Macaca fascicularis: one gene and its partners. The protein of the gene in region 2 purifies or fractionates together with the protein of the main gene of each other region. This does not show direct contact. Links are inferred from orthologs where the notes say so. Each region holds a gene or a part of one and is shown on either strand. Other genes may lie near its edges.

The links.
Region 1: the proteins of CREBBP (region 2) and IKBKB purify together in Homo sapiens (affinity purification with western blotting; 3 studies listed by BioGRID and IntAct, with this or other methods). This does not show direct contact. The link is inferred for Macaca fascicularis from reciprocal best matches to the Homo sapiens genes CREBBP and IKBKB.
Region 3: the proteins of CREBBP (region 2) and ATXN3 purify together in Homo sapiens (affinity purification with western blotting; 3 studies listed by BioGRID). This does not show direct contact. The link is inferred for Macaca fascicularis from reciprocal best matches to the Homo sapiens genes CREBBP and ATXN3.

What each region holds. Positions count from the first base shown.
Region 1 is NC_088382.1:45,833,576-45,837,222, forward strand, and holds part of IKBKB (inhibitor of nuclear factor kappa-B kinase subunit beta), read left to right. Parts: intron 1-427; coding exon 428-579; intron 580-738; coding exon 739-800; intron 801-1,883; coding exon 1,884-1,993; intron 1,994-3,057; coding exon 3,058-3,107; intron 3,108-3,214; coding exon 3,215-3,314; intron 3,315-3,512; coding exon 3,513-3,647.
Region 2 is NC_088394.1:4,656,606-4,660,298, forward strand, and holds the start of CREBBP (CREB-binding protein), read right to left. Parts: upstream 2,858-3,693; 5' UTR 2,532-2,857; coding exon 2,447-2,531; intron 1-2,446. Other genes in the region: uncharacterized protein, read left to right, coding at 2,917-3,693. UniProt on the Homo sapiens protein: Acetylates histones, giving a specific tag for transcriptional activation. Mediates acetylation of histone H3 at 'Lys-18' and 'Lys-27' (H3K18ac and H3K27ac, respectively).
Region 3 is NC_088381.1:160,098,678-160,102,424, reverse strand, and holds the start of ATXN3 (ataxin-3), read left to right. Parts: upstream 1-990; 5' UTR 991-1,031; coding exon 1,032-1,055; intron 1,056-2,118; exon of another isoform or gene 2,119-2,439; intron 2,440-3,147; exon of another isoform or gene 3,148-3,435; intron 3,436-3,747. UniProt on the Homo sapiens protein: Deubiquitinating enzyme involved in protein homeostasis maintenance, transcription, cytoskeleton regulation, myogenesis and degradation of misfolded chaperone substrates.

The DNA of each region.
Region 1 (3,647 bases), on a different chromosome or scaffold from region 2:
GGCCCCTTTAGACCTGATGAGGTGAGTGTGGTCGGCCCAGGGCGAGGAGTATGGAACTGAGGCTGGGCTGGCCGCGCTGTGGACGGATTGGGAACCCAGAGGAGCTCGCTGCCATGTGGATTGGCAAAACTCCCCTGACTGTGCTGCGGGGACTTATGGACTCTTTCTCCAGTGTGACTCGTTTGCCAACATTATTGGCCTTTTGTGTCTTCCTTTGCCTGGTGCCAAGTTTGGTGCAGAACCTCAGGCATTGCTGAGGGCGAGGAAATTGTCCTTGGGTTATAAGTGGCTGCTATAATAATAGCGATGATGATGATAATTATAGCAGGGACCTCCCTTGATATTTGAGGGGGTTTTGTTATTGTGCAGGAAATGGAATTTGGATCCCAGAGATGCTCCTAGACTCTGTTCCTTGTGGTCCCTGCAGGATGAATCTCCTCCGGAACAATAGCTGCCTCTCCAAGATGAAGAATTCCATGGCTTCCATGTCTCAGCAGCTCAAGGCCAAGTTGGATTTCTTCAAAACCAGCATCCAGATTGACCTGGAGAAGTACAGCGAGCAAACTGAGTTTGGGATCAGTGAGTGTGCACTTTGCAATGAGTTTAAAGACACCATTTTTTTTTTCTTTTTCTAAGGTTTCTTTTGTCCTATTATAATTGAGTTGCTTATTTCTGTTTCAGTTTTGTGGTGTTTTTATTTTGTTTTGTTTTGTTTTTCCTTCTCAATTTTTTTTTCAGCATCAGATAAACTGCTGCTGGCCTGGAGGGAAATGGAGCAGGCCGTGGAGCTCTGTGGGCGGGTAGGAGACTCATTTGGGGTTTCTGAACTTACCGAGGGGGTGAGGTTTTGCTCCTACTTTTCACTTTCTCATCAAACACTGGGTCGATCTCTGTCAAAAATCAGGTGTTCCTCACCATGCTTTGAACTTGACTGGACCAGCTGGAAAGAGGCTAAGAGTAGCCAGTAAAGGGAGCCCCTCTGTGGCCAAATGCAAGAGTTGCGTGAATGGATGGCGATGGTCCAGATTTAAATAAGAAGCAAGTGTTAGGTTCCCTTGGGGAAAAGCCGAGACCATTTCCTGTTAGGAAGGGCATTGGATGGATGATCAACACCCCCTCTTGTTGAAGGTTTTTGACTAATTTTGTTGGGACGCTAAATCCATAGGAAATAAAAGGTCCAGGCAGAAAGTCTCAGGACAACGTGAATCAGATGTCACCAAAAAACGTTAATTATGAAGGCAAAGGAAATACGTGTGACTAAATGAACGTCACACGAACTGAAGATTGAAGTCAGGCTCTGGGGCTTTTTCCTGGACGAATCCTCTGTTTTCCCCTGTGTGCTTGGGCAAGGATCTTCCCCTGTGTCTCAGTATCGCTTTTTATCAATCAGTACTGATGGGGTGTATATGTGTTTCATGGTGAATATTAACCATAGAAGGGGTGAGTGCTCCTCCCCATCTTGAGACCCATAATCTATGAAATAAAGCAGTCTGGGCCTCCCTGCCCAGTAGCATCGGCATAGACAGATGAAGAGAAGAGAAAGTAATGTGCCTTGGGCATCTTCTGTGTGCCAGGCACCATGCCAGAGGCTTTAAGTACTTCATCTTACTTCACTCCTCAAATAGCCCTGTTAGAAGCCTATTTTATGCAAAAGGAAACTGCAGCTGGGGGTAAGTAACTTGCCAAGGGGTCACATAGCTAGAAAGTGGTGGACCCTAGATGTAAGCGCAGCCATTCTGACCCCACAGTCCACATTCCTTTGAGCCAGTCCATTGAGAGTCCTCAGGCAATGTGGAGGGTCCCCAGGTCTCGCTCCTCCTCAGATCTTGCATCTCAGCATGCTCCTACCACATCAGTTGACATTAGCACAGCTTTTCCATTAGGAGAACGAAGTGAAACTCCTGGTAGAACGGATGATGGCTCTGCAGACGGACATCGTGGACTTACAGAGGAGCCCCATGGGCCGGAAGCAGGGGGGAACATTGGACGACCTGTGAGTACTGACTGGGGGGCCCCTCTGTGCCTAGCACATACAGATAACCCTGGAGCTTCGGTGTGTGTGTCCAGGGCACCCTCAGTGGCTGTGTGGGACCATTCTCTAGAGCATGCTCCCCTGTGGGGTCACCTCCAGCAAATCATCACTGAGCCTCAGTTTCCAAATCTGTTCAGTGGCAAGAAAAGCAGTCTTACCTCACGAAGTTGTAAGGATGAATTCAGGTAACGCATTTGAGACGGAGGCCATAATCTGTAAAGGCTCTAAAATGCAAGCAGCCTCTACCCCTGTATCAGACTCCCCTGATTTGTCCCACCCACCCTGACCCAGGCATAGCTCAGAACAGAAAGTAAGATAGAGAAGTAGAGAAGGAAGAACCTGACAAGGGGGAATTCGGACCTGGAATCCGTTCGTTTGAGTCTTTGTCAGGTATTTGGCATTGACTCCAGGAGGGGAGGAGGGGTCTAGGCAGATCACTCCTACCTGAAGGAGATCACATGTCCTCCTGGCGTGCAGATGGAGGGAACCGGGCAGGCCGGGTCAGCCTCTTGAGGGCTGTGTCACCGTGAGCTCAGCAGTGTTCCCTGATTCTCTCACTAGGATTCTTAGGACAGGAGCTCCAAATGTCAGAACTTTGATTCTGTCTTTTCTCTAATCAACCCTTTATTCTCCTCTAGTTCTTTTATTTGTATTTGTATTATTTAAGAGACAGGGTCTTGCCCTGTTGCCCAGGCAGGAGTGCAGTGGCACAATCATAGCTCACTGCAACCTTGACCTCCCAGGCTCATGCAGTCCTCCCACCTCAGCCTCCCAGGTAACTGGGACTACAGGCGCATGCCACCGTGCTCAGCTAATTTAAAAAAATATATATATTTTTGGCTGGGCACAGTGGCTCACACCTGTAATCTCAGCACTTTGGGAGGCCAAGGTAAGAAGATTGCTTGTGAGCCGAGAAGTTCGAGACCAGCCTGGGCAATGTGGTGAAACTCTATCTCTACCAAAAAAATATAAAAATTAGCCATATTTGACCTCAAATCTAGACAGAACTTCTTTGTATATTTTAGAGAGGAGCAAGCAAGGGAGCTGTACAGGAGACTAAGGGAAAAGCCTCGAGGTAAGTGGGGTTCTGTGTCTGCCTTGGGCTTCTCCTTATCTCATTTATGGGGCATCACTACTCTCTGCTGGCTTCCTTGAGGAACTATGCTACCCTCCCCTCTCCAGACCAGCGAACTGAGGGTGACAGTCAGGAAATGGTACGGCTGCTGCTTCAGGCAATTCAGAGCTTCGAGAAGAAAGTGCGAGTGATCTATACACAGCTCAGGTATGAGCCCCGCCCTTCCTACTCTGGAGGAAGGACTGGGAGATGCAGGCTGGGTGTGAGGCCACCTTCCTCCCTCCTCTCTGATTCACTGGACCTCATGAAGAGACTTTCTGCAGCTGCTGACTGGATGCACAGCTGCCATGGGTTCCATTTTCTCCAGCCCAAATGCCATTAGTTTGTCATGTTTATTCTTTGCAGTAAAACTGTGGTTTGCAAGCAGAAGGCGCTGGAACTGTTGCCCAAGGTGGAAGAGGTGGTGAGCTTAATGAATGAGGATGAGAAGACTGTTGTCCGGCTGCAGGAGAAGCGGCAGAAGGAGCTCTGGAATCTCCT
Region 2 (3,693 bases):
CTTAGACTAGTAGTTACACCAGACAAGGTGTCCCTTGTTTTTTTTAGAGACAGCGTCTCACTCAGTCACCCAGACTGGAGTGCAGCAGTGCGATCTCGGCTCACTACAACCTCTGCCTCCCAAGTTCAAGCGATTCTCATGCCTCAGCCTCCCAAGTAGCTGGAATTACAGGTGCATGTCACCATGCCTGGCTATTTTTTTGTATTTTTAGTACAGATGGGGTTTTACCATGTTGGCCAGGCTGCTCTCGAACTCCTGACTTCAAGTTGATCCACCAGCCTCCCCCTCCCAAAGTGCTGGGATTACAGGCATGAGCCATGGCATCCAGCCCCTTGTTTAATGTGCTTGACAATGATCCCTTCCTTGGTCCTCCACACTAACAGACCCTTTCACAATAGTGTGATGGTGATGAATGTGTAACTCAGGACCCAACTTAAGTATGATGTCGACTTTCTACTTTGGATTAAATCAGAGTCATTTAAAGCTGACTTTTGGTCCCACAAAAGAGCCCCTGTGCCTTACAAGGATCAAAACTGGAAAGGAAGAGGGAAAAGCTGGTTAAGTGTGGAAAATCCTTTCTGATCAACTTGTTATTAAGCATCTGATCATCCAATAATGGAAACTACTATGGAAAAAGCTATCCTTCGGGCTCCATCTTGGAAACAGCTGGATGTAAACAGTAGGATAAGCCTTTTTGTTAAGTCTTGTGTTACTAATTGTCCCCCTTTTTAAGACAAAATCTACAACAAATTCATTCAACAATAGCAAAGCTACAAAGCCATCCAGGTTACCAGTTTCAGAAGACAAGCTTCAAAGGTGAACTCGCCTCGTATGACCTACGTCTCACAGAACTGAAGACTACTCAAACACAGCAAGATTAATGAAGCAACTGAGATCTGTTTTGCAGTACAACGGCATTTAAACTATTGTTTCCAAATTTCTCACTTCAGTAAGTTCATTTCATAAGATTAATGTCAAACTCAACTTTTATCAGCTAAAAAGAAAAACATTATTAGTGATTTTTACATACCATGAGCATCATTTACTCCTCCCCACTGTTTAAGAAATTTTAACTAGATAAGAATCTCCTTATGATTGATTTTTAAAAATCGTTTTTCACTTCCACATTAATATTAAATGTCTCTTATCATAACTTGATTCCAGGAATTGTATTCAAACTTAAGCCACAAAATTCAAGTTTTGTTTCAACAGCAATAGCAGTTTTTTGAATATGCTAGTGGTCGGTCACAGAACTATTTCCACAAGTTGAACAGCTGTGTCTAGCGCAAATCTGAAGGCAGCAATGTAATTCAATTTGGACTCATTCATTAGAAACTGATTTTCAGATGCTGCCACTGCAAGACTACTGGAGAAATGCAAGCTGCGCTGGAGACGGAATTGTTCGCAGCGGCACAGAAGTTTCTGCTGCAAAGGAGAGAGCTCTAAAAGAGGAAATACAACTAGTTCATGTTACCATGAACCAGCGCAGTAGGACCCAGAATTACTGAATGAATAGGAAACTAAATACTTCTCTTAAGCAGCAATGATTACTTAAGAAAGTTTCCAGGGAAGCTGTTAAATGAGAGGAAACAAACAAAAGATGATTTATTCAGTATCCTGCTACATTTTTTTGAAAAATTGGAATTCCTACATGCCTTAACATAATTTTTTGTACATCTACACTGTGAAAGCAACACAAACTCAAATGGAGATGGCAGCCCAAATGAACTTAAATCTGCTGTTTAACTTTCTTTTGAAGTTACACATGGAAATGAAACACACCACAGCAACTTTAATGACATCTTGCTAACGAAGTTTGGATTTTGAAAAATGGAATGACTAGTTCACTAAAAACAACAACAACAACAACAAAAAAAAAAACAAAGAGTTTTGAAAATAAGCACTAAGCATCTTTCCAAGGAACTCACTCATTCCAAGAAACTTCGGTTCTAACTCGCAAGCTGGCGGCTGCTGTGAGTATCCTCTGACTGCAGCCTGATCAAGGTGTCGCCAATCCAGAAAATACACTGCGCTACCTTTGGCCACGATCTTGCTTTCTCTAAGCATCAAAGGTACCCTCCGCTGTCATTCCTCTGGACGGCCACGCGTGTGGACACGGCCGCGGATGGATGCGTAGGACATTACCAAACAAACCCACACACTGCACTTTACTTCTTCCCTCCTGGAGTGCCACTCGGGTCCCCGCGAGGAGGGCTGATCGGGTGCGGGGAGGCCGAGCGCACCGGGCGTGTGCTGCCCAACTCGGGCCCAGTGACAGTCCTGCGACGAACTTCCACCCTCCGGCGCGGGGCGAAGGGAACGGGCTGCGGGGCCTGCTCCGGGCTCCCGGCTCGGTAGGTATCCGCGACCACCACCCCCGGACACTCTCTTTCAGGTGGGGGTGACAGCGCGCCCCGGGCCCCCGCCGCCCCGGACCCCTCCTCACCTGTGCTGTCATTCGCCGAGAAGCCGGGCGAGCTGAGTTTGGCTCGTTTGGGGTTGGGCGGTCCGTCCAGCAAGTTCTCGGCCATTTTCACCTGCTCGCGAAAACAGCCCCGGGAGCGGACGGCCGGGCCGGCGAAGGCCCGGACGGGGGTCGGGGGCCCTGCCGGCTGCGAGGGAGAGCAGCGAGCGCGGCCGCGAGCGGGCGGGCGGGCGCCGAAGGAGAGGGAGGGCGCAGGCCGGGTGGGGGAGGCGGCGGCCAAATCTCAGCCACAGCAACAGCGCCCCGCAGCGCTCACCGCCCGCCCCCGGCCGCCGCCGCCGCCGCCGCCGCCGGCCGCGGCCCCCTCATCCCCTGCCCGCCTCCCGAGCGCGACACTCCGCGGCGGGGGCGCCCCGGCGGCCCGGCCGCCCCCCCGGGCCCGGCTGGCAGCGACGGCGCCCGGCCGGGCGGCTCAGGCAGTCCCCGGGAACATGGTGCCGCCGCCGCCGCCGCCTCGCTCCCCCCCCGCGCCCCACTTAATGAATTCGCTCGCGGCCCGACGACGAGGGGGCTCCGGGCTCCGCTCCCCGCCCGCGGCCCGCCGCCGCCGCCGCCGTGAGGAAAAACAATGCGCCGAGCGGGGTCGCCGCCGCCGCCGCGGCCCCCCCACCCCCCGTTCCGCCGCCGCCGCCGCCGCCGCCGCTGCCGCCGCCGCCGCCGCCGGGCTCCGGGAGGCCGAGCCGAGAGGCGAGCGGGGCCGCCGGGGCGGGCGCCGAGGGCCGGGCGGAGCGGGCCGGCCGGGCGGAGCGGGGTGCGCGGGCGGTTGTGGGGCCCGGGACCGGCGGGGCCGAGTAGATCGCGCTCGAAGCCCCGGTCGGGTCCGCGACAAGATGGCGGCTGTTGATTCCTCAATTAAAAAAAAAAGAAAGTTTTTTTTCTTCTCTTTCCAGAGCCTGAACGGGGAGGGGGTGGGGGCGGGGCACGCCGGTGCGTCACCCCCCCCGCGGCGTCACCACGCACGGCCCCCGCCCCGCCCCCTCCACCTGCGCCGGCCGTGGCGGAAAGAGCCGAGCGTGCTCGGGCCGAAGGGCCGAAGGCCCGAAGGCGCGGCCGCGAAGCGCAGGGCGGCGGGCTGCAGGGCGCGGGCCAGGCCTGCGGGGCGCCCGGGCTCCGGGCTGAGCCTCGGCTTTTGTTCTGATGGCGACGAGGCGGCGAGGGCCGGGGCTCCGGGCCCCAGCGGGCTCCGGGAGCAGCGGCCTGGCCACGGG
Region 3 (3,747 bases), on a different chromosome or scaffold from region 2:
TAAAGGGTCCGAACACCTACAGTGGTAACAAGTCACTTGGATTTGAATCCTGGCAAGGCAACTTACCATCTGACCTTGGACATTGTGCTGTTCTTAACGTCTCCGTGCCTCGGTTTCCTCATGTGTATGAATAGCATCAACACCTACATCAAAGTTTGCTGTATTAAATTTGATAATATATGCAAAGCATTTAGAAAAGGGCCTAGCTCATAGAAAGCCTTATATAAATATTAACTATCACTTTTTTCCTTTTTTGGGGGGTTGGGGACGGAGTTTCGCTTTTGTTGTCCAGGCTAGAGTGCAATGGCACCATCTCGGCTCACTGCAACCTCCGCCTCCCGGGTTCAAGCGATTCTCCTGCCTCAGCCTCCCAAGTACCTGGGATTAGAGGTATGCGCCACCACGCCCAGCTAATTTTGCATTTTTAGTAGAGACGGGGTTTCTCCATGTTGGTCAGGCTGATCTCAAACTCTCGACCTCAGTTGATTCGCCCGCCTCGGCCTCCCAAAGTGCTGGGATTACAGGCATGAGGTACCGCGTCCGGCCTAGCTATCATTTTTATACAAGTGCTAGGTTTTGGGAGAATGTAATGATGGCTTTTTCTTACTAAATTTTCAGTGGAGGAGGAGGAGAAAGAAAGTAAATAGTTATATGAACACAGTAGAAAGTACAAAGTGGAAAACAAAAAGAGTATCGAACCCAGGTGAGTGGTCCAAACCTCCCCCCAGAAACCTAAGAACCCATAGAAATGGGTGGGAAGCGGAGAAGATCCTCCAGACAGCAGGTGGCGATGTAGCATCCCCCAGAAGGCCCTCTAACAGAAACTAGGAGGACGCGCTACCAAGGTCACGTGTCCCCGGCGTTCACTCGCTCTTCGCTTCACGTGACTCGCATCCTCGCGGGTGATTGGCCTGCGTGCGGCACGTGGGCGGGGGGACCAGGGCGGGGCGGGGTGGGCGGAGGGGAGGGACAGGGGGCGGAGCTGGAGGGGGTGGTTCGGTGTGGGGGCCGTTGGCTCCAGACAAATAAACATGGAGTCCATCTTCCACGAGAAAGTGAGTGTCCGCGTGCGGTGGGGAGCTGTCTGCCGCGCGGTGGCGGGCGTGGAGCGCGGCATCACAGCCTCCCGGAGGGCTGGGTGGGGTCCGAGTCGCCCCCATGCCGATCTCGCCGGGCTAGGGGCGACGCCGCAACCCCCCGCCTCTTCGGCTCGGGGAGGGGAGCATCACCTACGCTCCTACTTCCCCCGCGGCCCCCGCCCTGGGAGCCGGGAGGGAGTATGGGCGGGGCCGGGGGCGTCTCGGGACACGGGAGCGCGGTGGCGCCCAGTGGATTTGCTTCTTCCTTTCTAAGTCACTTTCCATAGCTTTTCGGAGGATTCCTTCACCCCTCCCCAATCCTTCCCTCTCCCTAGGGTCTAGCTACAGTCACCTCTGGGACACCTCCCTCGACCCCTCCTACCCTACTCCTGGCAGAATTAACTTTTCTTTCTCCAGACTGCTCAATTCTATATTGGAGTCTTCCCTACATTTAGATCTTTGAGGTCTTGTTCATGTTTTTTCCCCTGCACCAGGTCCGCGAGCCTCCCGAGGGAGGAGACCTTGGCTCGCCCACTGTAGGGCCTGACACTTAGGAAGTGAAGTAGGAAACCCGTTGTGCCCCTAAACAGGGAAGTCGTCACGAGTTTTTATTACGGGATGTTTGGGTTTGGTTTCTTTTGGTACTCTCATCTTTCCGGAGCAGGCAGCCAGCTTTGTTTTTAGGTATTAGGAGTGGACTGGAATGATTTTGTTGTGGTCTGCCTAGCCTGCTGTCACTTTAACTCTTCAGTGACCATGCACTTGAAGATACTGTTTGTGACATGTGGAGAAACTCCTCGTTTCTCACATGCTATTATCCATCCATTTGTATGTGAGTGAAGCCTTCCCCGGGACAACTTTGGCACATGATATCTTGTTTCATAATAGTATCATGTTTGGAAAGAGTTGCTGGTAAGGCTATTATTTAATAGGAGGAGCAAAGGGTTTTTGTTTTATTAAATGCTTATAAATGATCGTTTATCCCAGACATTTAAAATTCACACACACACAACAAATAAAGCAAAGACAAAAGAATACATTTACCAGATGTAAATCTGTAGTATAAATCTTTTTTTTAATTTTTATTTTAAAGATGGCATCTCATTCTGTCACCCAGGCAGGTGTGCAGTGGAGAGATCATGGCTCACTGCAGCCTTGACTCCCTAGGCACAAGCGATCCTCCCTCCTCCGCCTCCAGAGTAGCTGGGACTACAGGTGTATATCGCCAGGGCCAGCTAATGTTTTTGGAGAGAGAGGGGTCTCGCTGTGTTGCCCAGGCTGGTCTAGAACTCCTGGACTCAGGTGATTCTCCCACCTCAGCCTCTCGAAGTGCTGTGATTACAGGCGTGAGCCACTGTGCCTGGAACAAATTGTTAAGTACAATGCTTTTCATTGTAGAAAACATCTCGGAAACTTTTGAAATAGGCAGATTTACAGTGGGGGAGGAAGGCCTCAGTCGTATAGTTGTCACTGATTTTTTGACTTGATTGACATGATTTATAAATCATAGACAATAGAGATTTAGTTGCTTGGCTGAGTAAAGTGTGTGAAAAATACACATGTACTTTCTTAAAAACATTTTTTTTTTGAGATCGAGTTTTGCTCTTGTCACCCAGGCTAGAGTGCAATGGCGCGATCCTGGCTCACTGCAACCTCTGCCTCCCTGTTCAAGCTATTCTCCTGCCTCAGTCTCCCTAGTAGCTGAGATTACAGGTGCCCACCACCACGCCCAGCTAATTTTTGTATTTTTAGTAGAGACAGGGTTTCACCCTGTTGGCCAGGCTGGTCTCCAACTCCTGACCTCAGGCGATCCACTCGCCTCGGCCTCCCAAAGTGCCGGGATTACAGGCGTGAGCCACTGCACCCGGCCATATTTTTGTTACTAATTTTCAAAGGCTTTGGTGTGGGACCAGATTTCAACATGGAAGGCCTTAAACATGTTCCACACTACTTCCTGAGAATCAGACAAGATTTTTAACAATATTGATTGTTACCTAGTTGGGACGCATTTCTACTGAACCATGGGATCAATAAAAGCTGGGTGCTAGCCTAGCGAAAATCTACTTACCCGAAAGAAGTCCCTCTTAGTCCGGGTGCGGTGGCTCACACCAGCGCTTTGGGAGGCCCAGGTGGGTGGATCACAAGGTCAGGAGTTTGAGACCAGCCTGGCCAACATGGTGAAACCACGTCTCTACTAAAAATACAAAAAATTAGCCAGGTGTGGTGGCAGGTGCCTGTAATCCCAGGTACTCAGGAGGCTGAGTCAGGAGAATAGCTTGAACCCAAGAGGCAGAGGTTGCAGTGAGCTGAGACTGCGCCACTTCACTCCAGCCTGGGCAACAAAGCGAGACTCTGTCTAAAAAAAGAAAAGAAAAGAAAAAAAAAAGAGTCCCTCTGAATTATCAGCATGTGTATAGGCCTACAGATACTTCAGGAATGTATTTACCATTATCATTAACTTGTACGTACATAGCAAGTGAAGATTCAACAATTTAGTTTTTTGGGCATACTCAAGAGTATGCACCTATAACCATATGGCCCATTGTTAATCTCCTATACAGTCCATTCTAGGAATGTTTGGGCTTACTGTGCCATTTTTCAGTTCACCGCCTTCCCCTCTGCAATATACCTTTAACCCTTGCTAGGTGCTGGGTTTGGAGAGCCAGAG